Canis lupus familiaris: one gene and its partners. The protein of the gene in region 1 interacts with the protein of each later gene in a pairwise test. Links are inferred from orthologs where the notes say so. Each region holds a gene or a part of one and is shown on either strand. Other genes may lie near its edges. The genes, in order: GRB10, IGF1R, GIGYF1, RAF1, EGFR and GIGYF2.

Region 1 (5,308 bases):
ACAGACACTTTCAGGAGGCCTATTTCAGTTACCAGAGTGCATGACCTTTCATTGATACATTCCGTCCCAAGGTGGGAAAGGCAGGTGCTATAAAAAGTGCCATAAAGGGTTTTGACATAATCCTTATTCTGCACTGACCAGCTACTTGACCTTCAGCCAGCCAACCAACCTGCGAAGATTGGGTTTCCTAGTCTGTAGGGAGGGCGTCTCCCAGAGGTCCAAAGCGGGGTTAAATAAGACGATCAGTGAATAGTCTGGTACCAAGTGTGTACTCAAAAAGGTAAGTCACTACTGTAGTGAAACTAGCTGTTTCATTACGTTAAGACCCAGAAAAAGAGGTAGTTGCTGTTACTATTGTACTTGGGTTGGGGAGAGGTGGTAATAACCACACCAATGACAATGGTTTCCACGAATTCGTGCCAGTCTCTCTGTTATAGCCGTGACCTCATTGAACTCCCAGCACAGCTCGGGCTTGCTCCTTAGGCCCATTTCAAGGATCAGGACACGGAGGCGTGGCGGCAATATGAAAATACATAGGGCCTCCCTGCTTCCCCGCAGGTGGGGACACTGAGGCTTGGGGAGGCGAGGCCCCAGACCACGGAGTCCCTCGGGTGATGCTGCTGCTGCTGCTGCGCCCGGGGTCAACCAACAGCGCGCTTATCACGGGGAGCTGCGGAATGGGCTCCCCAACTGCCTCTCGGGGCAGGTCCCACGGCTCCTTCGCTGGCACCCGAGCTTGGGCGGCTGCGACCCCGCACCCAGGGGTGCCCGGGGTGGGGGTGGGGGTGCAGGACGCGGGGTCCTGGCGCCCCGGCACAGCCGCCCCTCCCGCGCGCCGCCCCGCGTCCCCGCCCTGCGCCCCCCCTTGCACCCTGTGCCCCCTGCGCCCCCACCCCGCCCTGCACGCCCTGCACCCCCGCCACCCTCCGCCCTGCGCCCCCCCACCCCCCACCTTGTGCCCGAGCCCCCCCAGCCCCCGCCCTGCACCCCCCTACCCGCGGCCCCCCTCCGCTCGTCCAAGCCCCTGCCCTGCGCGCCCCCACGCCCTGGGCGCCCCCGCGCCCCCCTCCGCCTCCTGCGCCCTGCGCCCCATCTGCCCCCCGCCCTGCGCCCCCCTCCGGCCCCCGCGCCCCCCCCTCCGCCTCCCGCGTCCCCGCGCTGCGCCCTCCGCCCTCCGCCCCCTGCCCTGCGCCCCCCGCGTCCCCGCGCTGCGCCCTCCGCCCTCCGCCCCCTGCCCTGCGCCCCCCGCGCGCCCCCCTCCGCCCCCCGCGCCCCCGCCCTGCGCCCAGGCCGAGGCTCCGCCCGCGCTGGCGGCTGCCGAGCGGTCCGGGCTGTGGCGGCAGCGGGAGGAGGAGGAGGAGGAGGAGGAGGAGGAGCAGGAAAAGCGTCCGGGGGAGGAGGCGGAGGCGGAGGCGGCGGCGGAGGCGGCGGCGGGCGGGGCCGGCGAGTTTAAAGCCCCGCGAGGGGGTGGGGAGCCGGGAGGAGGCAGGAAGGGACGCGAGCGGCGCCGGCGGGAGGCCGCGGGGACCCGAAGTTTGCGCGCAGCCCCGGGCGGCGGGGGGCGGGGGCCGGGACCGGGACCGGGACCGGGACCAGGACCAGGACCGGGACCCCGACCGCCCTGCGCGCCGCCCGCGCCCTCGCCCGCGCCCCCGCCCGCGCCCCCGCCCGCGCCCCCGCCCCCGCCCCCGCCGAGGGTCCCGGGGCTCGCAGGCGGCCGGGGCGGCGCCGCGGCAGGTACGGAGTTGGGCGGGAGCGGGCGGCAACTTACTTTGCGGCGGGCGCGGGCGGGGGCGGGGGCCCGGGGCGGAGGGGCCGGGCCGGCATTGTCTGCGCGCGGGCCGGCCGGTCGGGGACGCGGCGGGGGCGCGGGGCGCGGCGGGCGGAAGGGCGTCGGCTCGGGGCCGGGGGCTGCGGCGGGGGGCGGGGGCCGGAGCTCCAGCGGCCGCGGTGCGCCCCGAGCCCGGGGTGGAGACGTAGGGGGAGGTGGAGGAGAGGTGGGGGGGCCGGAGCTCCAGCGGCCCCGGTGCGCCCCGAGTCCGGGGTGGAGGGGAGGTGGGGGGGATGGAGGAGAGGTGGAGGCGTGGAGAGGAGGTGGGGGGGTCCGGAGCTCCAGCGACCCTGGCGCGCCCCGAGCTCCGGGTGGAGGGGAGGCGCGGGGTGGAGGGGAGGTGGGGGGGCGGAGCTCCAGCGGCCCCTGTGCGCCCCGAGTCCGGGGTGGAGGGGAGGTGGGGGGGATGGAGGAGAGGTGGAGGCGTGGAGAGGAGGTGGGGGGGTCCGGAGCTCCAGCGACCCTGGCGCGCCCCGAGCTCCCGGTGGAGGGGAGATGGGGGAGGGGCTGGGGTCGCGGGAGGGCGGGCAGCCGGAGATCCAGCAGCCCCGGTGCGCCCCGCGCCAGGGATGGAGGGGGAGGTGTGAGGCGGGGGGGGGGGGGGGACGGGAGCTCCAGCGGCCCCGATGCGCCCGCGCCGGGGGTGGAGGGGAGGTGGGGGGGATGGAGGGGAGGCGGGAAGGGGGAACTGGAGCTCCGGCAGCCCCGGTGCACCCTGCGCCCGGGGTGGAGGGGAGGTGGGGGGGCGGACCTCATGCAGCCCTGGTGCGGGGCTGGAGGGGTGGTGGTGGGGGGGCCGGACCTCATGCGGCCCCCGGTGCGCCCCGAGCCCGGGGTGGAGGGGAGGTGGGGGGGGGCGGACTCGCCGGCAGCCCGGGGCACGGCCGGGCCGGAGTCGTTCTTCTCGGTTCCGCCGGCGGCCCGGTTACCCCGCGGGGCCTCACCCCAGCTGTGGGCCCCGGGGCAGCCGCCGCCAGCCGGGGAAATGTGATAAGCGCCCGAGCGCCGGCCGAGGAACGTCTGATGCAACCGGCCTCCCTGGTCGCCTCTCGGCCCGTCTTGCCGCTGCCCTCCGGCTTGTGCCTTAAGGGACTCGGGCTGTTCCCCACTTCTGATCGCCTTCCCTCTGCTGGGAGATTGCAAGGAACTTTGCCGACTTTTTGTCATTGGCTGGGGGCGGAGGGGTGGGCAGTGCAGGGCAGCCACAGGTGACAGTGCCCGGCCTGGGTCGGCGCTGGGAGAAGGCTGCCTTGCAAACGTCCTCGTATCCGCTTTCATTCAAGAGATGCAGAAAAAGCCCAAACAAGTAGCGCTCGCTCGTGAGTACACAGGCGTTATTGCACAACTTTCTCAGTGCTGCTGTTTACAAGGCCGGGCCCAGAACACTTTGTTTCCGAAAACGCTGATTCAGCCGTTCGTAGCCCCCGAGGTTCAGAATTGGTGCTCTCTCTAACGTTTCGCTCAGTTTTACCAAGAACACATGTTGGTGGCGCAGCAACAGGCGCTGGCTGGGGGTTTACAGGCACGGAGCTGCTGGTTTTTCCGCCAGCGTTGACCCGGCGTCCCCCTCTTTCATTCCAAGAGGAAAAGTGGGAAGATGCTTCGGTTTCTGTAGGGGAAGGAGTTTTGACATAGGGCCGGGGCCAAGTGTCTCTTGGGGGAGTATTTTATTAAGGAGAAGCCCTGAAACCAAATGTGTTTCCAGGAATGAGTCTAGATGACTGGGCTTTTTCCTGTGAAAGATCTGAACTCTAGGATTACTTTATTGGGAACACTTGAAAGCGGAGGGCCACGCAGGCCAATCCCCAGATTACAGGGAGGGAATTTGAGGACAGAGTTACACACCCGGCAAGTGGCTCCTGTAACTGAGAAGTGCAGCTTCCGATACCCCTGGAGCATTTTACAGGGTAAAAGGCTCCTTAGAAACCTGCTCGCTGTCATCTACAGCTCGCTGAGCCCCATCCCTTACAGGTGTGGAAACTGAGGCTCAGGGGTTAGTGGGCATGCCGGGGTCACGGGCCAGCGAATGACAGAGCTGTCACCAGGGCCTAGCTTTGGATTTATTTATTTTTTATTTTTTAATATTTTGTCCTGTGTGTTTCATGCTTCTGCACAAGTATGCCTGCCTCCAAAAGAGAAGTGACCTGGAGGACGTTCCTCCTGCCAGCCACACACCTGGAGACGTAGGAGGCTCTGTTACCTGCAGGGTGGCTCCCCAGCTTGCCGATTACTGTCCTATGGCCAGGCCTTTATCAATTTGTCCACTTGCTTTTTGTACTTAAGTACACACTTACTTGGGGAGGGAACTTTGATGTCACGAGTTCGATATGGCACTTGTGCTTTTTGCAGTTAGAACAGCGCGTTCGTAAAAGCTGTGTGTCCCTAGAGTCATCAGTTGCCTGTCGCCTGTGGTCTGCGCCACTCTGGGGGGCAGTGCGGGGCTGCTGCGCAGAAGCCCATCCCTTTGTGAGCCAGGAACCCAGAGCGGAGCTGGCTGGTGCCGGCCACTTGTCTAGGGATTTACGGATGGTGGCCGCGGGATCGGAACCCAGGGCAACCCTGGCCCTGTTCCGGTGACCGTGGAGCCGGAGGGAGCCGAACTCCAAACCTGGAGCCAGCGCAGAGCTTTGATTTGGATGCGGTGGCTGGTCTGGGACATTACGAGGTTCCGCAACCAGACTCAGGCTCGAACAGAGGCGGCTTTTGTGCCTCTGGCTTCATCTCAGAGCTGTAGAAATTCTGGGTTGGTCTATCTGATAAAACCCAATGCTTTGAAGGTGGCCTAATTTAAGGAACCTATTTTCTTGGAAGTCTGTCCGTCTCCGCAGGGGAAGAAAAACCTACACCGCGGGAGGATGTCTCTGAGCTGGTGTCAGAACTCGGAGCTGAGGGGACGCCTGCTCTGTTCGGTGGGGGGAGGAGGCCGTGTGTTTGCGGGGTGCGCATGATCCCTGTGACTGTCCCTCAGCCTGGGGGGCCAATGTGGAATCGCGGGGGCTCCTAGGGAGAAAACGTTTGCCTCGTCTTTTCATTTACGCAACCAGTCACGTTCAAAATTTAAATAAAAACTTTTTCTGCTAGTGAAGATTTTTTTCTTTAACCTGTCTTTTTTTTTTTTTTTTTTTTTTTTTTTTTTTGCTCAACTGTAGAATTATGGGGAACGATAGAAGAAATTAAAGATAGTAGAGCTCCTTGGTGGGCGAGGCTTGGCAGGCAGGCTCCCGGGGATCTGGCAATCTTGTAGGAGGTCTGTGCGCTCACGGGGGGAGTACATCTCACCCATTCGGGTGCTGGCGGGCGGCTGGCCTGTGTTTGCGTTTTAGCCGCCCTCTTCTGGGGAGCTGTGTGCTCCCCTGTCTTCTCCCTGTCTGGCCTCTGGCGGGGACACCCTTGCCCCCACTGCCCGCCCTGGCTTTGAGGAGCTTCTGAACTTGTCCCTGCTCCTGGGCATCACAGTTAACTGGAAGGAGGTGAAAG
Region 2 (4,650 bases), on another chromosome or scaffold:
AGAGTCTTAAGAGGGGCTCATTCCTGAGATGAAAGTTTCCATCCCTACCTGTGACCTTTTATGACTTGGACTCTACCAAACTCATTTCCTTTGCTCTTCTCTACACCCCTGGCCATCCACATTGCTGTCTCTTGAGTATATATTGTTCTTCTCCCTTTTCTCTGGCCTCTGGAATGTTAATAGCCAGGGTTTTTTTTTTTTTTTTTTTTTTAAAGATTTTTATTTATTACTTAGTGGGAGGGAGGGAGGGGGAGAGAAGAAAGAGAAAGAGAGAGAGAGAGAGTGTGCACGAGGGGGGGGGGGTCAGAGGGAGAAGCAGACTCCCTGCTGAGCAGGGAGCCTAACTTGGGGCTCGATCCCAGGACCCCGGGATCATGACCTGAGCTGAAGGCAGACACTTAACTGACTGAAACACCCAGGCGCCCCTTAATATCCAGTTTTAAATACCACCCATCTTACAGCAGCCAAGGCATGTGTGGAGCTTTCCTGGGAACTGCAATAGAAAGAACCTTCTCTCTTCAGGAAGTTCCAAGGCTACCTCCAGTCTGTCCTGCTTAGCTCAATTCACATCTAGAGTGGATTCTCTTTTTCGTTTTTCCTTTTAAAGATTTTGTTTATTTATTTGGGAGGGAACGAGAGAAAGAGAGTGAGCACAAGCAGCAGGGAGAGGCAGAGGGAGAGGGGAGAGGGAGAAGCAGATTCCCTGCTGAGCAGAGAGCCTGACACAGGGCTCGATACCAGGACTCTGGGATCATGATCTGAGCAGAAGGCAGATGCCAACATATTGAACCACCCAAGCACCCCTAGAGTGGATTTTCACTGTGCACATCACTGCCAACCTTCTGCTTCATATGACCATTATTTGTCATGGGTCTTAGCTCCTGGCTTTCACCATGAGCCTCTTCAGAGGGTAGACACTGCTTCTTTGCACCTCTTACAGTGTCTTATGTGTTGAGTGCTCCAAAAATTAATGAATTACATCAATCAGAAAACTTGACTCTGAGAAGCTTTAATGGAAGGCTTGGGATTATGAAATCATAAGAAAGGGTATTAATGAAGGTTTGTAAGTGTGCCTGTATACGTGTCTATATTTTTTAAAATAAACCTTCCAGTGTTGAGGCTATTTTATCAAAAGTTTTTGAAATCTGCAGATGCCTTGGTCCAGTAATTCTACTTCTAGGGATTTATTGCAAGAAAACAGTCTTGGATATTTGCCGAGAATGTTCACTGGAATGTTGTTTATGATGTGAGAAGCTGGAATAACCTAAATATCCAACAATAGGGGATTGGTTTAAAAATATAAAAGAACTAGGGGTGCCTGAATAGCTCGGTTGAGTATCCAACTCTTGGTTTCAGCTCACGTCATGATCTCAGGGTTCTAGATCAAGCCCCGCATTGGGCTCTGCACTCAGTGCAGTCTGCTAGAGATGATCTCCCTCTGCTCGTCCCCATGCTCATGCTGGCTCTCTTTCATGTGAATAAATAAAAAAATTAAAATGAAAAAAAAAAAAGAACTCATGGTACATACTCATACTCTAGCATTACTGTCTCTAAATTGATGACATATAAGGACATTTAATGATTTGGCAAAATGTTCGTATGAAGTGAGGGAAAGTATTGTCTGATTTCCTTTATCTTAATTAAATTACTTATAGAGAAAGGATCACTGGTATAGGCACTGTTAATAGTGATTATCTTTGGATGTTGAGATATTGGTGGTTTTTACTGTCTTTTTGTTGTCTATTACCAAAACTTTCTACAAGAAGCTTGCTTTCTTGGTTAATAAATCATTTTATTGAAGTTGGGATTATATACCTCTTTTATTCATAAAAACACACATTCTTGTTTTTTTTTTTTTAGGATTTTATTTACTTATTCATGAGAGACACAGAGAGAGAAAGAGGCACAGACACAGGCAGAGGGAGAAGCAGGCTCCTTGCAGGGAGCCCAATATGGGACTTGATCCTGGGACTCCAGGATCATGCCCTGGGCCAAAGGCAGGCACTAAACCTCTGAGCCACCCAGGGATCCCCCTTGTCTTTCTATTAAATGAGCCTCAGTATCTATATTCATACAGTATTGGGGAAGAATACGAGGCCACCTGGTCTGTGTCAGATGGTAGCAAGAAATGTGGGAACTTCTGTGGGTCCCTACTTTCTAGGTCATAGTGACTGTTCTCCAGTGTAGACTAGTGCATGGTTTCCTTGAGGCTGGATGCAGTAGTAAGCTGTTGTTTCTTGGCTGCTGAGCTGTTTGTTCAGATTCTGGGCATTGGTGCTGTGCAGAAGGGGTGGGGAGTGTGCAGCCTGGAAGCTGCACTTGACTTGACTTGAAGTCTTGACTATGTAACCTTGACTCTCTTCTGTGCTTCTGTGTGACCTTGAGCTCTGAGCTGTGATTTGCACATCAGTAGGATGGGGATGGCATCTCCCATGGTCACTGGGTATGTTGCACAATATCTGGCCCAGTGTAGACACTTCATGAATAATAGTCTACACCTACGGTTAGTCTACAGCCAAGAACAGAGTCTTATTTCTTTAATAATACTAATACAGGTTTCCTGAAAACTGGCCATATTGTGGGTTGGGAAATAGTTCTAAAAATGATTTCCTTTTAACTCAGACATGTCCTGCCCTTGCCCTCTTGTCTCCCCTCAGTCTGTGGGCCAGGCATCGACATCCGCAATGACTATCAGCAGCTGAAGCGCCTGGAGAACTGTACAGTGATCGAGGGCTACCTCCACATCCTACTCATCTCCAAGGCAGAGGACTACCGCAGCTACCGCTTCCCCAAGCTCACGGTCATCACCGAGTACCTGCTGCTGTTCCGTGTGGCCGGCCTTGAGAGCCTCGGGGATCTCTTCCCCAACCTCACAGTCATCCGCGGCTGGAAGCTCTTCTACAACTACGCCCTGGTCATCTTTGAGATGACCAACCTCAAGGATATTGGGCTTTACAATCTGAGGAACATTACTCGGGGGGCCATCAGGATTGAGAAGAATGCTGACCTCTGTTACCTCTCCACAGTGGACTGGTCCCTGATCCTGGATGCAGTGTCCAACAACTACATCGTGGGGAACAAACCCCCTAAGGAATGTGGGGACCTGTGTCCAGGGACAATGGAGGAGAAGCCCTTGTGTGAGAAGACTACCATCAACAATGAATACAACTATCGCTGCTGGACTACAAATCGCTGCCAGAAAAGTAAGGATGATGCTGTTGTGGCTTTCTCTCTGCGCCTTTTACCCCTCCTGCTCTCCCTTGCCCTTTCTCCTCTTCTGAATGTGCAGGTTCTGCTGGGGGTTCTGCTGAGGGTTCTGCTGGGAGGGTGTGGTTGTGTTGCATTGAGGATGAGGCCACCTGCCCTGTGCAGGTTGGGGTCTTGCTTGGCTTCCTTTTGCATTCGGGAACTCATGGAATGCAGGACCTTGGCATGGCTGCCATCAAGAGCATCTAGATCATGTCTTGGATATAATCTGTCACCCTTCTGGGCTAGAAGCTTGCTGACCTTAAGCTTTAGATTCCAACAAGAAAGGTGACCTGGTGTGCTTGGAAGTGCCTAAGCCCTAGCAGTCAGGGACTGCTTACCTATCACCTGGCTCATCCTTTGTGGGATGGCAGGACTTCCTTTGTATGAATATACTTGGAATGTGGTTGAGTAAAGGGAAAGTAAAAATTCACTTCACATCCTGTGGAAGTGGTGACCTCCATCCTGTCCTCCCCAGTGACGGTTATGATGCTTAGGTGTGCTGGTTTATAATGGAGTACCTCACCACAATGGGAGAGCCCTGGACCAGATTCCAGGAATCCCAAATTCAGGCTGTACTTGCAGGTAGCTGTGTGATGGGTGCACTTGTACACTCCAGGCTTCCATTTCCTTTTTCCTACACCGCCCCCCCCCCGCCCCCGCCGCCCCAAAGAGTTGTGCAGATCTTATGAAATCACCTAGTGAAAAGACTTTGAAGTGTATTCACTGCTCTGGGGGGTCACGTGGTGACATTTTAAAGCTTCTTATTTACCAGTAATATGCTTATTTTTCTCTTGAGTATAACCAGGCTCTTGAATTATTGTGATCAATTACCTTGAGACCCAGGTTGTTTGGTATTAGAAGGCAAGTCTGGGCCTTTGCCGTGTTGCTTTCAGCAATGTTTAGGTATGTTGGCCAGGAAGGTTCCTCTCCCTGGTTAGAAGTCAGTGTGGTAGCTATAAATAGCTATTATTTAATGGTTGGCCCAGTTAAAGACCCAAGGAGCTCATGTATTCTAGCTAGTCATGAAGAGCCAAGAAATCCCAAATTGGTAGGCTTGTCTAAACCATGAAGTGTATAAAATAAACAAATCAAAGGCCAGACCCCACAGGTAGCTGTTCTTTCTGTTCCCCGTCCAGCCAGGGTTGAAGCAGGAAAAGGATGGCTTCTTTGACTCAGAACACACTTTTATTCTATCAGTTCATCAGTGTGTACATGAGGATTTGATTAATAAGGGAAGGGGTCTCCCTTATTAAAGGTTTCTTAGAGATTCTCTAATTGAATTGGCACCCTCCCTTTACATAGAGTCAGTCCCTGTGGACCTGTGTGGTCTGGTGGGTAGCTGCCAGCCACCTGTGGCTTATTGTGTACTCGAACCATGGTCTGGTCTGAATTGAGACTCAC
Region 3 (5,092 bases), on another chromosome or scaffold:
AGGGGGGGCTCCTGGGTAGCTCAGTGGTTGAGTGTCTGCCTTGGGCTCAGGTTGTGATCCCCTGGTTCCGGGATGGAGTTCCACATTGGGCTCCCCGTAGGAAGCCCGCTTCTCTCTCTACTTATGTCTCTGCCTCTCTGTGTGTCTCATGAATAAATAAATAAAAATCTTAAAAAAAAAAAAAAAGTCTAGGGAAAAGAAAGACATTTAGAAATAGCTACTGCATACCTAAGTCTTCCTCACTCCAACGAAAACACTTCACATTCCTTCAAACCAACCTCAGGAAAGACTGTTCTAAGCTTCCTGAAGTTCATTCCAGAAGCCCCATCTTGAGAGGGAAGATGGGGGACAGAAGAGCCCTCTGGGTATGGAAGGCAGAAGACCACTCACCCTCCCTCCCTTCCAGGGAGTGGCAAAGGTGGCTCTCCTTGATGCTCTCTGCTCCTGGCTTTCACCTCTGTGTCCTGGTTGTAAGGAGCAAACTGAGGAGTGGCTCCCAGTGTGAGAAGCAGAGCAACTGCAGAAGCAAGGGAAAGGTAGTCAGGGCAGGGGAAGCAGAGAAGCAGCTGGAAAAAAGTCACAGGAGGACCTGGTCCCAGCAGCTGGTGGCCACCGGCCATTCCCTACACTGCAGGAAGTGCCACCCAACAGCACACACACTGCCCCATGGTGCCCACCCTCCACACCCATGAGTCTTCTCCATGTTTCCTCCAAGTTAATGGTTCTCAATTAAAGGGGGGGCTGTGCTCCCCAAGAGACATGTGGCAATATCTGCAGATGGTTTTGGTTGGCATGACTGAAGGGCACTACTGGTGTCTAACAGAGAGCAGAGACGCTGCTACACACTCTACAACATGAAGGGCAGCCTCCCACTGCCCCCCACCCACAACAAGGAATCAACACTGCCATGGTTGAGGACCCTTCCTTCGTATCATGGGTGCTGATAAAGCCTATTCTGTTTATGGGGAAGAACGAAGACAAAAGAAACCAAGTTTATTCCAATTCAGTTTCCCCTCCGGTGAGCAAGCAAGGAAATTGTTTCCTAATTGTACTGTCCCATGAGAGAAATATGAACTCCTGCCAGGAGAGAAATCCTTAAGAAGAGATTCAAAAAATTCTGCTAAGTTTCTGTATCACAAACTCTCAAAGTTTGGGTCCCTTTCCAGTAGCAAAGAACCAGGACAAGGAGCAGAGCAGACAGGACTGCGGACAGCACTCTTTCCTGGCTTCTTAATCTTAAGGCTCTCCTCACAGGCTTATTCCTCCAGCTTATCTGCCACCCCATGGCCCTACCTTCAGCATCTGTTTGCCTCATCTCCTAACTGTCTCCCTAGGCCCCTGTCTGCCCGATCTTCTTTCTCAGGCCTTAACATACCCTCCCTCCCCTGGCACTGGAATTATTGCTACTAAAAGGCTGCCCCCTGCTGGAGTTGAGGGGAGAGGACACACACTGTCCAGGATGCTCACAACAGGCTTGCAGGAACAGGAGCGAAGCCTGTTCTCTGGGGTTCAGAACTCTCAGAAGAAAAATATCCAAAGAATACGCAGTCCTAGTACACACTAAGTTAACATTATTTCCTCATTCCGTCACCCCTAAAATTAGCCCTATTCCAGAGCAATGTGCCTTGGCACAGAAAGGTACCACTATTAACAGAAGTGGAGTCCCAAATTCCCCAACATCTGAGCAACCAGCAACCACCCAGCCCCAAGCCTGTTGGGAGGTGACTCCGCCCTTTCTCTGGATGGAAAGATCCTCCATGCATGGTAGAATAATTCTGAGGCTCAGGAAGGGGTGCAAGACCATGTTCCCCCTGCCTCTCTGAGCCATCGTGATAATGTCCTTGGCATGTTTACTGGTTAAGTTCTCAAAGTGCTTTCACACTTTACCTCATTTGATCCCTTCTGCCCACTTGCCCAGTCTCGGGACCCAGCCAGGGAAAACAAGGGAGGATGCAGCTGCCCCCACAGGGGACCCCATGTTCCTGACACACTATTAGAGACTGGAGAAGGGATGCACAAGCAGCAAGAGCCACCCTAAGTACTTGGTAAGTTTTAAGCCATTTAAAATTTCTCCTTAGAATTTTTAAAATCCTTCACGTAGCAACCTCTTCTCCCTTTCTCTGTTCTCAAGTGGGGCAGCTTTTTCTATCTCTAACCCAACCACAAACAAGGGCAAACTGGGGTCCTTGAATTCCTCAAACCACAACACTAATTTGTCCACTGGCTACAAAAAGCCAGGCCAGAGATCTAGAAACAGAACTCACTTGACTGTAATCACCATATGGGACCGTTTAGGTCCCTGCTCCCTAGGCCACGGCAGCAATGCAAAGTCCACATCTGTCTCATCCCTTCCCAATTACACAGATCTACAACTAGGAAATAAAACTGGAGCTGGGTGAGGGGTGGGTGGCCTGGCACTTCAAGGGGAAGACTACAGATGAAGGATCCTGAGAGCAAACTCCCCATAATGAATGGCAAAGGGGATCAGCCTAGCCTGTTGGTATCTAAGGGGCTTCACATGCAGAGACCATGGGTGGGGAGCCAAGGTGCCACTGGCATGTCAGCTCCAAGGGACAGTGGAGAAGTGGCGTGCAGGCTGAGTTTGGGGTAAGCAGCAAGAAGAAACGAGAGAGAGAGATACAGACAGACAGACTGGGGTGCGTGGAGGAAAGATCCGGCGGACAACTGACTTAGCATCTCCCAGGGCTGGGGCCCAATGAAAGACCAGACCGGGAAGCTTACTAGGAATTCTAACGACTGGGTAAGAAAGAGGGTCTCTTTCAAGTTAACTCGGGGGGAAGAAAAGAGGCAAAGTGTGAGGGACCGTAGCCAGGAGACTAAGCTGTTAGAAACGGACGGGCAACAGGGAGGAAGGAGACCCCAATGACCAAGCATTAATGTCGCCCGCTGAAAGGAAATTTAGGTGAAGACCCAGCGGAGGTGCTTCGGTTAAGAAAAGCTTCCACGTTGGCCAAAGTCATGGAACGCCTGGACTTTAAGACCCGCAGGGCCCAGCTAATTCCGGTCAAAGCCCGGAGGCTCGTTGGGGGAAGTCTCCGGGGAGCGCCGGGCACTAGGGTCGGGGGGCCGGGGCAGGCCTGGCGGAGGATGCGGGTGGACGGGAAGGGGCCGGGCAGGGCTGCCGAGGTGCCAGAGGACGACCGTTAGGAGCGCGGGGGTGGGAAGGAGGCGGGCCGCCCGGGAGGACGGCGTGCCCTTCAGGGAGGGGGCGCCAGGTGCGCGAGGCGAGGGGCGAGGGGCGAGGGCGTCCTCCCTCGGGGCCGCGCCGAGGAGGGGCCGGCGGGAGGGCGGACGCACCGGGCGGCGACGGCGGCAGCGGCCTGGGCAGAGAGGCGGGAGGGTCCGTGCTGGCGGCCCGCGCGCTCGCTCTGGCTCTCGCAGGCTCGGCGCGGCCGCCTCAGCGTCGGGGGCGGGCCTGCCCCGGGCCCGGCGGCGGGCCGGGGTCCGCGGGGCCGCCGAGCGCTTACCGCGGCGGGCGGGCGGCGCGAGGCTCCGGTCCCGGGGCGTTGGCGGCGCGCGGCGGGCCAGGGGGCGGCGGCGGCGGCGGCGGCGGCGGCGACGACGACGGCGGCGGCGGCGGCGGGGGAGGGGGCGCTGGCGCTCCCGCGGCGGCCGCTCCTCTCTGTTTGTGTTTGTAGCAAGATGGCTGCCCGCCTCGCACCACGTGACGCGGACGCGGGGCCGCGGGGCCGCCCCCTCCGCCGCCGCGGCCGCCTCTGCAGCCGCCGCCGCCGCTCCCTCCGTAGCCCCGGTCCCCGGCGACCCGCACGGCCTAGCGCCCGCCCCGCCTGCCCAGTGGGGAGCCCTGGCGCCCGCCGCCCCCGAAATTACCCCCCCGGCACGTGACCCGAGGCCTGGCTCGTCACGTGACGCAGGGCCTGCAGCGGGCCGGGGTGGGGGGTGGGGTCCCCGGGGCACTCCTCGGCTGCCCCCCGGCTGCTCCCGGCACGTGACGCGCGACCGTCGCGACGGAGGCCGCCGCAGGTGGCATCGCAGGGCTCGCCTCTCCAGTCGGTTTCCTCCAGGAAGCCCACCTGGATTGAAGGAGACAGCATACGATCCAGAGGTGTGTTAATTAGAAGTCCTGGGATATATAAAATAAGTGAGGAACTAATCATTTGGAAAGTGTCCGAAGCAGCACTGGCTGATGAGACCCAGAGTTTCCATCTGGCTCCGCCACTGACTACTAGCTTCTAGACCCCGGGGGCAAAGCAGTTGATGGGGCCTCAGTTTCACTTTTAGGTCAGGTGTTACGCTGTTCTCCGCCCCACCCCCGACCTCCACCCGACTCCATTCCCCTAGTGCTGGAAGAATTAAAATAGGTGAATGTGAAAGACGGTGAAGAGAGAAATTATTATGCAAATATGAGAAGTAGATTGACACCTCCTTTGTTTAAAAAAGGGGTTTTCAAGAAAGATTTTTCCAAGTCCCTGAACTTTTTAGGGTGAAAGGTTTTTTGTTTTGTTTTGTTTTTTATCCCCTGTGTATTTTCACCTTTTTGGCGGGGTAGGGGGTGCTGGTTATTCAGAATGTATACTGTACTTTCCGGCTTCCTAAAACGGCTGTTAGCAAACACAGTGTAATCCTCAGGACGGAGAAAGGTAAAGTGGGACTTAGAACTTGAGTGTCTTGTGTTGTGCCAGAATGGAGCGCAGACCTCAGGAGCTACCAGAAGGCCCTTTGTTCCCGCACCAGTGTTCCCCAGGCTTCTCTGTCCTAGCAGTTTTAGTATCTGTTTTGTTTTGTTTTGTTTTGTTTTTCCCCAGTTCCCTTCACTTTCATGCAGTCAGGATTTCTTAGTGCTGTTGGTCTCCCCCGCTTGCTGCGAGGCTGGAAAATAGCAATTGTTTAAAGCAAGGGCTCCCGTGCAGATTTCATTCATTACTGCCTGTGGCCTTGGAAATAATCTGTTCCCTCTCTGGATTGTCTGGTAAAGCATTTAACACACTGTTTGGCACAGGGCAAGTACTCCACAAATGTTAGCTGATGGGGGGGGGGGGGCTTCTGGTTTTACAGGAGAGAAGATATAAAGTTGTGAACACTGTATAAAAATGTATCGACAGAATCCAGG
Region 4 (4,650 bases), on another chromosome or scaffold:
CCATCAGTCTTCAGGTTCCATCTGTCTAAGAGAAAAGCTAAGGCAGCTCTACACCAGTGTGGCCTTAGAGGAGAGTGGACAGCCCCTCACTGTCCCAGAATCCCTCTAGTCTTTAATAGGCACTAGAGATTAGCTTGGGACCAACCTGGGGCCTAAACCCAGATAATGCTGACATCTGCTGCTTCAAAGATCTACACTTCAACAAACTGCTTCCTAAGATAGAGGGAGTAGTATAGCGGAATCTAAATTGGCCCCTTTGAGTTGACTCATTTCCTAGACTATTCCCTCAAACTGGAGAACTCCTTGAAACAGAAAAAATGCAAGCTGGAGATCAGTAGCAGAACTAGCATTTTCCAAGAAGAAAGAAGAAACTAGCATTTTCCAAGAGATTACTCCCCCCAAATTCAGGGGGATAATAATGGATAATAGAAGCTATGGAATATTGCTCCTAGCCTTTGATGGGATGCTTCTATCTTGCCACCACCATTAGAACTAAGATTAACTATGGATCTTCCTTGAAGCAGAAATTCTCCTGCATCTTTTAGTCCTATGTCTGCCAAATTGCAGGGACTCAGTAAGCATTAACCATATAATAAATAAATGAATGAATGAGGTGCACCTGGCTGGCTCAGTCAGAAAAGCATGCAACTCTTGATCTCAAGGTCCTGAGATCAAGGCCCCACAATGAATGGAGAGATAACTTAGGTAAAAACTTTTAAATAAATGAATTATATAAGAGTTATTACTCTCTTGAGGATAAGATTCTTTAACTATAAATAATAATGCAAACACTTTCTGAGTACCCATTCTGTCCACTGCATTCCAGGAAACAGAAAAATTTTTTACTCTAAAGAAAACATTACCTGACACTACTGCTTCCATTTATGGAATATTATCAACACCTAATATGTATTCTTTTTCTCAATGCAATGTTTAAACAATAATTTCAAGTTCTTAATATTTTAATTTTCTGAGTTGTCTATGCACAAGGGAATATAAATACATAATATTCTATAGGAAACTAGTATACTTTTTAAAAAAAGAACTATTATTATTTGAAGTCATCAGCTTCCTTACTTGTATGAAAAAAGAGTTGACTTTTAATTTCTTACCCTTTATGTTCATGGAGAAGTCTGAACACAGCACAGCACTCTGGCTGCAGGCCTCTCACCTTGAGTGCTTTCATAAGGCAATCATGCAAACTCATTCCATTTCGCACATTGACCTACAAACAAAAGACCATCTTTAGAACCAACAACAGCTGCACATCCCTTGGTGAGCAAAGAAATAAATGTACCAGTCTATAAAGATATATGCAGATTTATGACAGCATTATTTGTAATGGTAAATATAAATGCACACAGAAAATAGCTGGAATGTCCAATAATAGGTAAAAGCCTAATGTCCAATAGGCTTGGATAAAGCCTAGAATATGTGTGTATGTCACTACTATATTATTTACAATGACCTAGAGGGAGGGGTGCCCATATGTTAATTATGAGAAAATATTTTTCAGAATAATACAAAGAGATTATTCAAAGGGCAGGAAACCTATATATATTTATATATGTTGTATGAGTCTGAAAAGATATATCTCTAGCTATTAACATCAAGAGAGTGGCTGAGAGAGATAAAATGATCAAACTTCCCTTCACACAACTCTATTTTAATTTGCTGAGGGACACCTGGATGGCTCAGCAATTAAGCTCTGCTTTCAGCTCAGATCAAGTCCCACATCGGGCTCCCTGAGGGGAGCCTGCTTCTCCCTCTGCCTATGTTTCTGCCTCTCTGTGTCTCTCATTAATAAATAAATAAATAAAATCTCTTTAAAAAAAAAAAAAACTTGCTGAAATGTACATGCAAGCATGAACATCCACCAGAAAGGAAAATAAACCAATCTAATCTATAAGCAAACAAGAGTTTTTCTGACGAAAACTTGTATTTCAACCTGTTTGAAACAAGATGATTTATCTTCCTGACAAAAATTCCATTTCATACACACTTCACAACTGTAAGGGCAAGCAAGGAGAGGAAACAGAGCTTCTGCCCTGCTACAAAAACAAACACTACTAATTTAAATAAATGTGCACACCATTCCAGGTAGCCTCAGTGTATGTCCTTCCACACTCTTCCATACCCAATCTTCAAAAGCTAGGCAGGTACTCAGAGACCCAGTGTAAGTGTGAGTAGTCAGGGTGCTAATAATAGCAGCTATATAAAATTTCGACTAAGACTTTAAAAGTTTTTATAAAAGCCCCATTCATTTTGTTTTTCTTTTATTTTTTGGAGAGAGAGAGAGAGAGCACGCAAAAGGGGGGGGGGGTGGAAACGGAGGGGAAAAGGAAGAGGGAGAAAGAAAATCCCAAGCAGGCTCCACACCTTGCACAGAGCCCAACACAGGACTCGATCCCACAACATCAACATCATTTTGACCTGAGCCAAAATCAAGAGTTGGCCTCTCAACCAACTCAACCACCCAGGAGCCCCTCATACATTTTGTTTTCAAAGGCAATAAAGTTAATTAAAAGTGAGGCAACTAGAGTCAGTACGGCCAGTAGGAGAACAGAATATAGATTTGCAGGGCTTGTGAATTGCCCACAGTAGAGTTCCTGTGCTCAGTGAAAGTGTGACAGCTGACAGTGGCCAATCCAGAGGAGGTGAGTGTATGTTTGGATCCATTTTAAAAGTCTGAAGTATTTAAAATGTTCCATGGCAACTTTATTTTAGATTTCTTGAAGCAGTTATACTCTCAGATCCATTAACTTCTTGCTTTTCAGAAACAAAACTAAGTGAGATATATGAATCTGAACTATGAAGACAAGACATCAAGAATGAGGACAATGAAAAGGAATACATACACACTAACCAAATCATTACTTGCATCAAATACTGTGCAACAGGGCCTTGAAAACTATAGTGCTGTGTTATACCATTAATCTTCATTAAAAGTCACAGACTCTAAGGACGCCCAGATGGCTCAAGTGGTTGAGTGTCTGCCTTTGGCTCACAGCGTGATCCCACTCCAGGGACGGAGTCCCAAATCAGGCTCCCTGCGAGGAGCCTACTTCTCCCTCTGCCTGTGTTTCTGCCCCTCACTGTGTGTCTCATGAATAAATACATAAAATCTGTACCAAAAAAAAAAAAAGTCACAGACTCTAAGAGTTAGACAGTTCTTTAAATAAATATCCTCTAATTCAGTGGGGTTCACAAATGTGGCTGGCATTAGAATCATCCAAGGAGCTTATGAAAATATAGATTCCCAGCCTCCCCACTCCAATACATCCAAGGATTCTGCTTCACCTGATTTTGAATGAAGCCCAAGAATCTATATTTTAACCTGTGTCAGGTGATTCTAATGGTCATTTTTTTTAATTTTTATTTATTTATGATAGTCAGAGAGTGAGAGAGAGAGAGAGAGAGAGAGGCAGAGACACAGGCAGAGGGAGAAGCAGGCTCCATGCACCGGGAGCCCGACGTGGGATTCGATCCCGGGTCTCCAGGATCGCGCCCTGGGCCAAAGGCAGGCGCCAAACCGCTGCGCCACCCAGGGATCCCCTGATTCTAATGGTCATTAATGGTCCTCAGCTGTGGTCTAAGCACCCACCCAATAAGTAGGCAGTGTACATATTTGTACACATATGTACAAAATAAATGACAAGGTTTTTCAATCAACTACCAATTATACATCTACAACTATTTAAATAATATACATATCCTTTTGGTCACTTTCCTCTCTACAACTCTCCGTGGACACATGTTGAATTCAGTTAAATCTGACTAATTTCTGGAACCCACTAAGTGATTATGAGTCATTCTGGGTTCCAAGCAGTGAAGCAACCTAAGGATGATTAGAAAATACTAACTCAACCTGCTGGCCAGCAAGGGACTCCTACCTCCTATGCTTCCCTAAAGATGGATGCCTGCTGAAAGAATATGGTTCTTCCAGAGAGCAATGGTCCATCTCTGATCAAAGGAATAGGAGAAACTAACTTTATCTGCTAGAGCCTTCTCATAAGCTGTAAGAGGAGTCAAGCCTCTAAATCACTGGTTCCAAACTACCAGCTGTGCTCAACTGAAAGCTGTCGAAAGCTACACAGATGTAGAAAAAACTCAAATAATCATAGCTACCATTTTACTTATAAATTAGCTATTGTACTTAGCATGAGCCTCATTTCATTAAGGTCAGCAAAAAGAGGCTCAAAATATTATGTAACTTGTCTAGATGATACAGCTAATAGAAGGCAATATAGGGATTTAAATTGGGGTCTGGTTGTATTAGAGGTCCATACACATAATCATTATGCCAAACAAAGTTTTTCATTCTTCTAGGCAACGTGGTAGTAAAGAATCAGAGAGACAGGTACACTAACTTCCTGTGGTCTTCAGCCTGCCTTCAGCTTCCCGTTACATTCACACTTCCCATCTGGGCTCCATTTAAGGTTAAAGAAAATTAATGAGTAACAATAGGCAAAATCACCTTGCAAATGAAAGGCCACTGTTGAAATAAGGAGATTACTGTTTATTTTGCCATTAAACTTTTTTTTAGGAAGGGAAACAAAAATAAATGTACTCAAACTTTAAATACCTCTTATGTTTGCCTTCAGTTCAAAATGCACATGACTATACAACACTACAACTGGCAGGGTCCTG
Region 5 (4,650 bases), about 3.9 Mb from region 1:
TGTCTAGATGGATGTTAAGCAAGAAGATGATGTTTGATTGAAAAGGCAAAATAGTTGTGACAGCTTTTAACACTGAAATCTGCCTCTGCCTGGTAATTAACTACAGGTCTTCACTCCAGTGAATACACAGTGTTTACACCCACAACATGGTCCATAAATCCTCCCTAATGTCATTTAAACCAAATATGCCCAATTGTTTTTTTTTTTTTTCTTCCTTCCCTCCTTCTCCGGGTTACACGCCTGCTGGAGAAGCCAGCCATGCAAACCGAGCAAGTGCAGCAAGACACCAGGGTTCTCTAACAGAAAGGCTCCACCCTCATGGTTATTCTAATTTCCTCTCTCTCTAAGAAGATGTGGAAACCATGAGATTCATGTCTGTTTGCAGCAGTAACGATTGCACCAATATTTCTTACTTGTTGAAGCAACACTGTCAATTATACAAAGGACTCTGTTAGGTGACCGAGCGCACCTGCTAAAGGATTCCTACAGAGTTGGACTTGGGCTTCTCATCCTGTTCCTAAATATTTCTGGATCCGTACTGTGGCCCAAGCGCTGAAAGCGAACAAGAAGGATGGTTCCTGTAGCCATCTGTAATTCCCATGGCTCTTCTCTCTCACAAAATTTCCCCTTTTCTTTACATTAAAAAACAAAAAAAAGCACCTCTGCCTCTCTCTATCCTTCAATTTTACTTTCCTATTAATTTATTCTTAGTCATTATTTGAGGTCATGCAAAAAGCTTGACATCAGTATCAAGATTCCCACAGAAGCAACAGATTGGACTTTCTATTGATGGCAAATAAATTTAACAATGGTTATGTTATATGCTTGTTTATTTCTTTGTCCATGGTTACATTTAAAGTTATTTGCACAGTTTGGTATTTGTTGAACATGAAACAAATTAACCGGGAAATGTAATTTATACTAGGATATTTTGACATGCCAGGAAGAGTAATTCCAAAGAAAAGTCTAAACGGCTGTGGTCTTGGCCACACAAACCATTTCTGACTTTTCCATTTGTCTTGGGAACTCTGTGTGGCTGAGAAAATTATCAGGTATTTCCAAAAATAGAGACTCTCTAAATTAGTGGATAGGATTAAGTAATGAAAAAAGTTTGTTCATTTCCTTTTGTGATTAACAGTTGTCAAGAAATAAAGACCAAAGAAAAAGGGAAAAAAACAAAAGGATAAGTTTCAAAGTGAAGTAACTGTAAACCTATAAAAACAATCGCCTTATTATTATTTTTTAATGAAAACAAAAGGGGTTAAGAGATAGCCTTACCCCTCCAGAATGTTGCACTTTTCCACACATTCCTTGCCACGGCTGACGTTTCGGCAGGACACGCAGTCTCTCGGCCCTGGGCCCCAGCAGCCTTCTGAGGAGCACAATGGATGGCAGACGTGGCCTATGGCCTCTGAGAAGACAGACCGAGACACAAGGGGTCAGCTATGGCACAGTGACTGGAGGGGCCACTTGAGACCGCTCCTGTAAGTGGGATGCTGGGCTCTCTGTGACCTTGAGCTGCATGGACATGGCGGGGTGGGGTGGGGGGGCCTGGAAGAAGCGATGACACACAACGGGCTTCCAGAGGCCAACTACAAGTTCCTCTTCCCTGCGGGGAGTCAAGGGTTCCTGGCCTGGAGCTGGGTAGCATTTTGCGGATGAATGTCATAGCTGATGGAAACACAGGGAAGGTTTGTGGGCCTTGCCGTGTGCTGGGCACCATGCCAAGAGTTTTACATGTAAAATTCCATTTAATTCTCTCCCAAGCAGTGAGAATCACTGAGGAAGCCGAGGCCTACACATGCTGAGTAAACTGACCACAGTCTGGAAGCTGGGAAGGGCTAGAGTCAGGGTGTGACCTCAGATCTGCTTCTCCCAGTGACCAGGTAACGGGCACGCCTGGCTTCAAGAGCTGCCTGGGACTCTAAACTCAGACTAGAAAATGTCAGTGTAAATGTTCATTCTACCTGCACGCGTGTGCACGTGTGTGTGTGCACGTGCGTGTGTGTATGTGTTGCTAGCTACGTTCATCAGAGGCTAAAAGGTAAGATAATGTATACAAAACTCAGTTCTGTAAATTATAAATAAATAATTGATAGCTTAAATCTCAAGGCAAATCCATCCTATGACATGTGAGTGATTTGGAAACAATTCCAATGAACTTTACACGATAACTTCACATTTAGGAATATACAGATTTCTTTTAATCTGCTTCTTCAGGAATGAAAAATGTAACTTAAATGTTTGGGGATATTCCTTTTTAAAATAAATTTTTTTAAAGGATTTTATTTATTTATTCGTGAGAGACACAGAGACAGGGAGAGGGGCAGAGACACAGGCAGAGGGGAAGCAGTCTCCCTGCAGGGAACCTGATGCAGGACTCGATCCCAGGACCCCGGGATCATGACCCGAGCCAAAGGCGGATGCTCAACCACTGAGCCACCCAGGTGCCCTGTTTGGGAATATTCTAAATCAAAAGAAATGATCCATGTGAACCATCTCCACAATCAACCAGAGTGATTACTTACTGCAGGCTTTTTCATCTTTGTTGTTTATAATTTTGGTTTTCTGACTTGAAGTCCCAAAGAGTTTCTTCCAGTTTATTGTATTTGCATAGCACAATTTTCGGTTTCCAGAGATGATCACATCTCCATCGCTTATCTCCTTGAGGGAGCGTAATCCCAAGGACGTTATGTTCAGGCCGACGACCGCCAGAGAAAACTGGCCACTGTCGCGGGGAGAAGAAACATAACGTTGTTAAAAATTATGAAAAGATTATATCACTAAAAACGTTATTTTTATTTTCTGGACCACCTTCTGTTTACTACAAACTGCCTCGCACTGATTGTAAGTCATATTGCAGGAAGTCTGTATCACAACTTCTGAAAATTATAAGAGTTTTTTTTTTAAAGCTCCTCCAGGGAAAAGCCTGTTCCTTGTTCATTTAGTATCTTTAACCCCAGTGGCATTGTGGGGGCTGAATAAACGTTAATATCATTATTATATGCACTGCATTTTTTTTTTGTGCCTGGGAATAGAGAGCATGTTCTAACCTCTCAAATATCCAAATACGCTTCAAAAACCATAGGTTCATCTTTTCCACCCATGCATCCACCCATTCATCTATCCATCTATCTACTCACTCATCAATCCGTATACTTGTCTATGTATCTATGCACATATGCATCCATCGATCCTTCCACCTCTCTATTCATCCATCCATCACCCATATCCATTCATCTGTCCATTCACCTATTCACCCAACTATCTATCCACTCATCTGTCCACTCATCTATGCATCCATGCACCTACCCATCCATCCACCTTCCCACTCATCTATCCATTCATCCATGGATTCATCTATCCATTCATCCATCTATCCCTCCACCTGTTGATGCACTGATTCATCGATCTATCCATTTACTGAACAATCATTTGAACCACCCAACTCTGTGCTAGAACTCTATAAGGCTATCAATAGGTTTCCATCAAGTGATTGGGCAAAAGTCATTCACCCTGAAGGGAGGGAAGTCCTGAACAGGAGCAGGAAGGCAAGAAAGCAGCTGATGGGTGCTGAGAACCAGGAGCTACTGCTGGAGCAGAAGCCTGGAAGAAGTGTCCGGTTACTTGGACACCTTGAGCTCGGTTGTGGTCTGCAAATGATGGAAACCATAGGAAAGAGACTTGCATTTTTGGGAAGCTCACTGGACACCAAGACAGGGAATGGACTAGTTGAGACAGCACCGAATGAGGAGACATCATACACAGGATGACAAAAGTTTAACTTGGAGATTCCTCCTCTCTCCTTGTCTCTGTTTCTCCCTCAACCTTTTCCTCCTCCTCCTCCCTTTCCACAGCCTGCTCCTGAGGAAAGCGAGGAGCCCTGTGTAGGAGACCAGCAGCACCACTGTTTTAGAAATTCTCTCATCATGTGCTCACGGAAGCCTAGACACTGGGACAAAGCTGGGGTCACCTTCGTCTGGTGAGCCATACCTGGAGCCAGTGGCCACCCTGCCCCTCCATTTCTCATTAAATGTGAAAAGAAAACAAAGTAATTCTAAATTTGTTTAAATTCCTAGAACTAAGCCAAGTGGTACATGCCAGTCACCCAAGAAAATTGATCTAAATCTCTTATCTCTGTATAAATCTTGGGCAAAAGAAATATTGTTAAGAACTTAGAACAAAGGGTCTTTCCAGGGAAGCAATGTTAGCTCCATGGTTAGTACAAGACATGCACAGCCAAGATGGTTTTTAAAAAGCGATTATGTATTTTATGTATACTCTATTCAGATTTTCTTTAATATTGAATGATATTACGTAGTTGTCTTAGGGGTCAATTAATGGGTGATAGTTCTCAGCATTAGACTGTTTCCAAGGCAGATCTGACAAAGAGATTCTCAAAATTCTCAAAAAAATCTGACAAAGAGATTCTCAAAATTCTCAAAATTCTCAAAAAATAAGAGATCTCAAAAAGATTCTCAAAAATATTACGTAGTTGTCTTAGGGGTCAATTAATGGGTGATAGTTCTCAGCATTAGACTGTTTCCAAGGCAGATCTGACAAAGAGATTCTCAAAATTCTCAAAAAAATCTGACAAAGAGATTCTCAAAATTCTCAAAATTCTCAAAAAATAAGAGATCTCAAAAAGAT
Region 6 (4,628 bases), on another chromosome or scaffold:
CTCTGCCTATGTCTCTGCCTCTCTCTGTGTCTCTCAAGAATAAATAAATAAAATCTCAAAAAAAAAAAAATGCCATCGTGTGTATCTATCATATCTAAGTAATGGATGTTGGTTCACAATGGCATCTGGCAGCTCTAAAAACTACAGGAAGACAGAGTACAATGGAGGCGATGGATCATTAAAATGAGGTTGGGCCTCCCTGATGATCTTTTTTTTTTTTTTTTTTTTTAAGATTTTATCCATTCATCAATGAGAGAGAGCGAGCGAGCGAGAGGCAGAGAGCGAGAGAGAGAGAGAGAGAGAGGCAGAGACACAGGCAGAGGGAGAAGCAGGCTCCATGCAGGGAGCCCGATGCAGGACTCGATCCCAGGACCCCAGGACCATGCCCTGGGCCAAAGGCAGGCGCTAAACTGCTGAGCCACCCAGGGATCCCCTGATGGTCTGTTTTAGAAGCAAAGTTCTCTTTTAATTAGTGACTACTTTCTCAATGGATGCTTTTGGATCAAATTAGAACTGTCTCATTCTGTACATGGGGAACTGTGAATGACAGACATTTGTTAATTTTTCTCAATCTGTGAATCAATAAAACAAATAGCAGTAAGTAGAAATGAGTAGGCAAGGGGCAGAAGTTAGTAATCATCAGAGCAATTTTCAGATAGAGATTCAGTTGAGAAGACATTTTCATAAAAAGGTCCAAGCCTACACAAGTGAGTTCTCTCAATACTTTGTTGAATATTTATTTCCCTTTTCCTTATATATTTTTTTCTGTTCCTTCAACATAATATGTATTCCTTAAACTCTATTCCTAAAATAACCCTCATTCCCCCAAAGAGAGTTTTAAGTCCCTTTCTTTCTGGTATCTGTAATGGGGATGGAATCAGATTGAATATTTAATTCAGAGAACTTTTACCTCACCCCCCTGACAGTCCACGGTTCCTGTGCCACACAGCTAAACAGCAAAAGGGCTTCTTGGTAGAAGCCACACCCAGAATTTCAGAGGCACTTGTAAATCTATTTTCACCCACTTCTGTCAAAACTGGGTAAAATGTTAGACTGTTCCATCCATTCTTAACATAAATTTCTGAGGCAGGTAAAATAAGTAACTTAATAATACAATTCTGAGACAGGCAGAAGAAAACAGAATTTCACCAGGTCTCTCTCTGCTCCCAAGCCAGCTTTCAGGCCCCAGTTCCAAAGGGCAATCCTCAAAGTTAAGTTTCTGTTACTAACATTTTGTTTTCTCCACTGTAGGAGACCTTTGAGGGAAGGCAGAGACCCTACTACGGGCAAGGTAGGATGGCAATCTCCTTCCTGCTGTGCTCTCTACTTTTTCACAAGGGGATCTCCATCTGTAGTCCCATAGGCATTCCACACTGGGTCCACACTGGACCCACACAACACACTTTAACACCGTGTTGTTATCCCCCTAAGCTTGCTCCATTTTCCAGGGCTCATCCTTTTAGCAAATGGCAGCACTACCCACCCTGCTGCCCAAAGCCTTCCATTCCCCTTGTCAGCCAATTCAGTTCCCTAAGTTTCTGAAACCCATCTAACTCCTCTCCATCTCTACTACCAAAACCCCTACCTATTCTCCAGGCCACCAGGATCTTTTACCTGGTCTATACCACAGCCTGCTGCCTGGGCCAACACTCCAACCTGCCATCTTGCCAATATAATCGTTCTGCTCTGGACAACACAGTTCTTAATAGTCTATTTGACACTCATAAACAGAGAATCATTCTAATTTCATCATTGTCTGTGAAGCTGTTTGGCCAACTTAAGAAACACAAGCAGTCTGCATCTGCTTGCCTAGACTGTTTATTATTCCAGAAACACCACTGCCTGTCCTTCCTGCCAGTCTTTCAAAGCCCTAATTCTGGTGTCACTGTTTCCATGAAGCTGTCTTGTGTGAAGACTCTGGTTCTCAAGGCTAGACGTGAATAGTTGTGGCTAACAGAAGAGTGGAAAGAAAACAGGCCTTCTCTGAAATCCCAGCCCCACTGCTAAATAATGGTGTGACTTTAGAAAATGTTCTAAACCCTCAGGGCGTTGGTTTACTCACTGGTAAAGTGGAACATGATCTCATAATGCAGAATGACTCTGAATATATATATATATATGTATAGATATATATATATATACATATATATATATATATACACACACACTCTCTCTCTCTTTCTCTCTCTCTCTATATATATATACATATACACCCATATATAATGAATATCAGCAAATATTAGTTATTTGAATACCTGATTAGACTTATGGTCAGTTTCTATACAAATCAGTGTTTAAGTTTTAACAACTTTTCCTTTTCTCCATTAGCATTATTTTCCAACTACACTGAAAGGCCTTCTAGGGAAATTCATAGAATATATGAAATAAGGCTTCAAAGTTTAAAGCATCACACAAGTATAAGTAATTACTTTTCTTATTCCCTATAGCACACGAGGCATCACTCTTGCACTGATGTGCCCAGTAAATATTACTTATTTTGAAGTGGCTTAAAAAATTAATTTTGTATAAGAAATATTTCCCTTTATGAAAAACATTCTATCAGGAGATTCACATAGGAAATTGCTATAACCTGCACACCTCTAACTCCCAGCTGAGATTTTTGGCTTTGCTCACCTAACAAACTGGGATCTGCTCGGACCATCTTCTGCTTTTTCTTCTTCTTGCCACTTTGTACGGCCTCAAAATTGGATTGTTGGTTGTTGCTTTGATTGGTCTGAAATACTGAATGGAGTGCACTGTGGTTCATTCCCCACACAGAGTCCTGTGAGAGAAGATGTCACAATTGGGGTTACACAATAGATGCAAGTATGGCCCACGACAGGAACATGGTTGATTAGTCCTCACCTTATCAAGTATGAGATTAAAAACAGAAAGCCTATCATGGATTCCAGTAATAATGAAACCAAGAGGAGTCCACTGAGCCATCTTTTCCCTTCATTTAGATTCAGACATCCCACTTAAGCTCTGTGCCTCCAAAAGGCCTATCCTGGTAGCTCTAGGTTTCCACCCCACTGTGACAACACAACTGTCAGAACCTCTCTGGTATACATAGAGTCTCCAGCCACTATGAAATTAAATATACAGCAAATAATCAAAAATAGACCTCTGTACTCAAGCAATTTACACCCCTCACCTACCAAAACATAAGGTTCCTCTGTCTTGAGCCCCAGGACAGAGAGGACAGAGGCTGCAGACTAGCTGGCAGTATGTTACCAAACAAAATTATTATGTACTTTATTCCCATTGGCAATCCCAGAAGATCCCCAAAATATCCATATACTTTCTACCAACTGGTTCAACTACAAAATAGTTTACCAGCCATTCATACTTAGTGTTGCCCTTATTAGAACAATTCATTTTAAACTGGGATCAGATTCAGTGAGCTAGCTGAAGGCACAGGTAGTGGCAGTGGGGGACGAGAAGGAAGAGTAGAGAAATGACCATGGAAGGACGAGCCTGGCTACATGTGCATATGCACACATTGCGTGGGCCCCCACCTCCAATTTCAGCACACAGGAGCAGCCACTTCACAAATGTAAAGACGATGTTTTCCCTTCTGATTCTCTATTTCTCCTAGTGCTGTTTACTTTCCTTCCCTTGATCCTTGTTTAACCCATCCACCCAAACGGATTTTTAATGTACTTCACTGTATCTTTTATATTCCCAGAAATGACCGCTGTAACAAACATTATCTGTGGCAGAATTATAGGATTGAAGGATATGAATATTCTTAAGCTCTCCATGAGCCTTGCCGCCTCATCTTTTAGAAAACTTGTACAACTGATCCTCATTATTCAGATTCCTATTTCCAAATTTACATACTGGCTATAATTTATCCATAACCCCAAAAATCAAAACTTGCAGGGCTTTTATGGTTTTCCTGAACTGTGAATGTCCAGAGCAGTAAAAAACCTGAGTTGCCTGAGGAAACACATTCCCAGTTGAGGTGGAACAGGACAGTATTCCACCTTCTTGTCTCCGCTCTCATACAGTAAAAACGATCATCTTTTTTCAGTTTCCGTAGTGTCATGAGGCTCACATTTTTGCTTGTTAGTGCTGTCACTGTTTAAAATGGCCCCCAAGTGTTAAGTGCTATCTAGTGTTCCAAAAAGGCTGTGACATGCTTATGGAGAAAAGGCAGGTGCGAGGTAAGCAGCTGTAGTGCTGCGGGCCAGGAGTTCAGTCCAAGGAATCAACAATATAGTAAATAAGGCATCTTCAAACAGAAACACACATAAAACAAGGTAATGTATTGATCAGCTGACAAAAAATGCTATGACCAGAAGTTCTAGAAACCTAACTGGGTGTTTTCTCTGGAACAAAAGTTCAGTATTCGCTAATTCAGCATTAGTGGCAACTTTACAAACTACCACAAATAATGAGAACGGACTATACCTTTTACATCCCTATCAACAATATATGGCATATCCAGCATGCTAAGGTGCTGTCAATATTGAGTAACAGGGCATCTTGAGCACTGGAGATTTGTAGGTTTCTAACTATCAAAAAAATGTTTCTAACTATTCAAAAAATGTATCTGTGACAAATTGGAATCTGCAATCTGACTGAAGCACATATATGAACCAAGGAGAAAGGAACTAGTAGGC

The links.
Region 2: the proteins of GRB10 (region 1) and IGF1R interact in a two-hybrid assay, tested with the Homo sapiens proteins (4 studies listed by BioGRID and IntAct). The link is inferred for Canis lupus familiaris from reciprocal best matches to the Homo sapiens genes GRB10 and IGF1R.
Region 3: the proteins of GRB10 (region 1) and GIGYF1 interact in a two-hybrid assay, tested with the Homo sapiens proteins (2 studies listed by BioGRID). The link is inferred for Canis lupus familiaris from reciprocal best matches to the Homo sapiens genes GRB10 and GIGYF1.
Region 4: the proteins of GRB10 (region 1) and RAF1 interact in a two-hybrid assay, tested with the Homo sapiens proteins (2 studies listed by BioGRID). The link is inferred for Canis lupus familiaris from reciprocal best matches to the Homo sapiens genes GRB10 and RAF1.
Region 5: the proteins of GRB10 (region 1) and EGFR interact in binary tests that used the Homo sapiens proteins (3 or more experiments, as listed by UniProt). The link is inferred for Canis lupus familiaris from reciprocal best matches to the Homo sapiens genes GRB10 and EGFR.
Region 6: the proteins of GRB10 (region 1) and GIGYF2 interact in a two-hybrid assay, tested with the Homo sapiens proteins (2 studies listed by BioGRID). The link is inferred for Canis lupus familiaris from reciprocal best matches to the Homo sapiens genes GRB10 and GIGYF2.

Annotation. Positions count from the first base shown.
Region 1 is NC_049239.1:2,207,306-2,212,613, reverse strand, and holds the start of GRB10 (growth factor receptor-bound protein 10), read left to right. Parts: upstream 1-1,673; 5' UTR 1,674-1,737; intron 1,738-5,308.
Region 2 is NC_049224.1:42,231,106-42,235,755, forward strand, and holds part of IGF1R (insulin-like growth factor 1 receptor), read left to right. Parts: intron 1-2,657; coding exon 2,658-3,203; intron 3,204-4,650. UniProt on the Homo sapiens protein: Receptor tyrosine kinase which mediates actions of insulin-like growth factor 1 (IGF1). Binds IGF1 with high affinity and IGF2 and insulin (INS) with a lower affinity. The activated IGF1R is involved in cell growth and survival control.
Region 3 is NC_049227.1:8,962,554-8,967,645, reverse strand, and holds the start of GIGYF1 (GRB10-interacting GYF protein 1), read right to left. Parts: upstream 3,550-5,092; 5' UTR 3,489-3,549; intron 518-3,488; 5' UTR 391-517; intron 1-390. UniProt on the Homo sapiens protein: May act cooperatively with GRB10 to regulate tyrosine kinase receptor signaling. May increase IGF1 receptor phosphorylation under IGF1 stimulation as well as phosphorylation of IRS1 and SHC1.
Region 4 is NC_049241.1:6,018,046-6,022,695, reverse strand, and holds part of RAF1 (RAF proto-oncogene serine/threonine-protein kinase), read right to left. Parts: intron 1,226-4,650; coding exon 1,113-1,225; intron 1-1,112. UniProt on the Homo sapiens protein: Serine/threonine-protein kinase that acts as a regulatory link between the membrane-associated Ras GTPases and the MAPK/ERK cascade, and this critical regulatory link functions as a switch determining cell fate decisions including proliferation, differentiation, apoptosis, survival and oncogenic transformation.
Region 5 is NC_049239.1:6,117,094-6,121,743, reverse strand, and holds part of EGFR (epidermal growth factor receptor), read right to left. Parts: intron 2,729-4,650; coding exon 2,529-2,728; intron 1,412-2,528; coding exon 1,279-1,411; intron 1-1,278. UniProt on the Homo sapiens protein: Receptor tyrosine kinase binding ligands of the EGF family and activating several signaling cascades to convert extracellular cues into appropriate cellular responses.
Region 6 is NC_049246.1:44,629,665-44,634,292, reverse strand, and holds part of GIGYF2 (GRB10-interacting GYF protein 2), read right to left. Parts: intron 2,788-4,628; coding exon of another isoform or gene 2,786-2,787; coding exon 2,635-2,785; intron 1-2,634. UniProt on the Homo sapiens protein: Key component of the 4EHP-GYF2 complex, a multiprotein complex that acts as a repressor of translation initiation. In the 4EHP-GYF2 complex, acts as a factor that bridges EIF4E2 to ZFP36/TTP, linking translation repression with mRNA decay.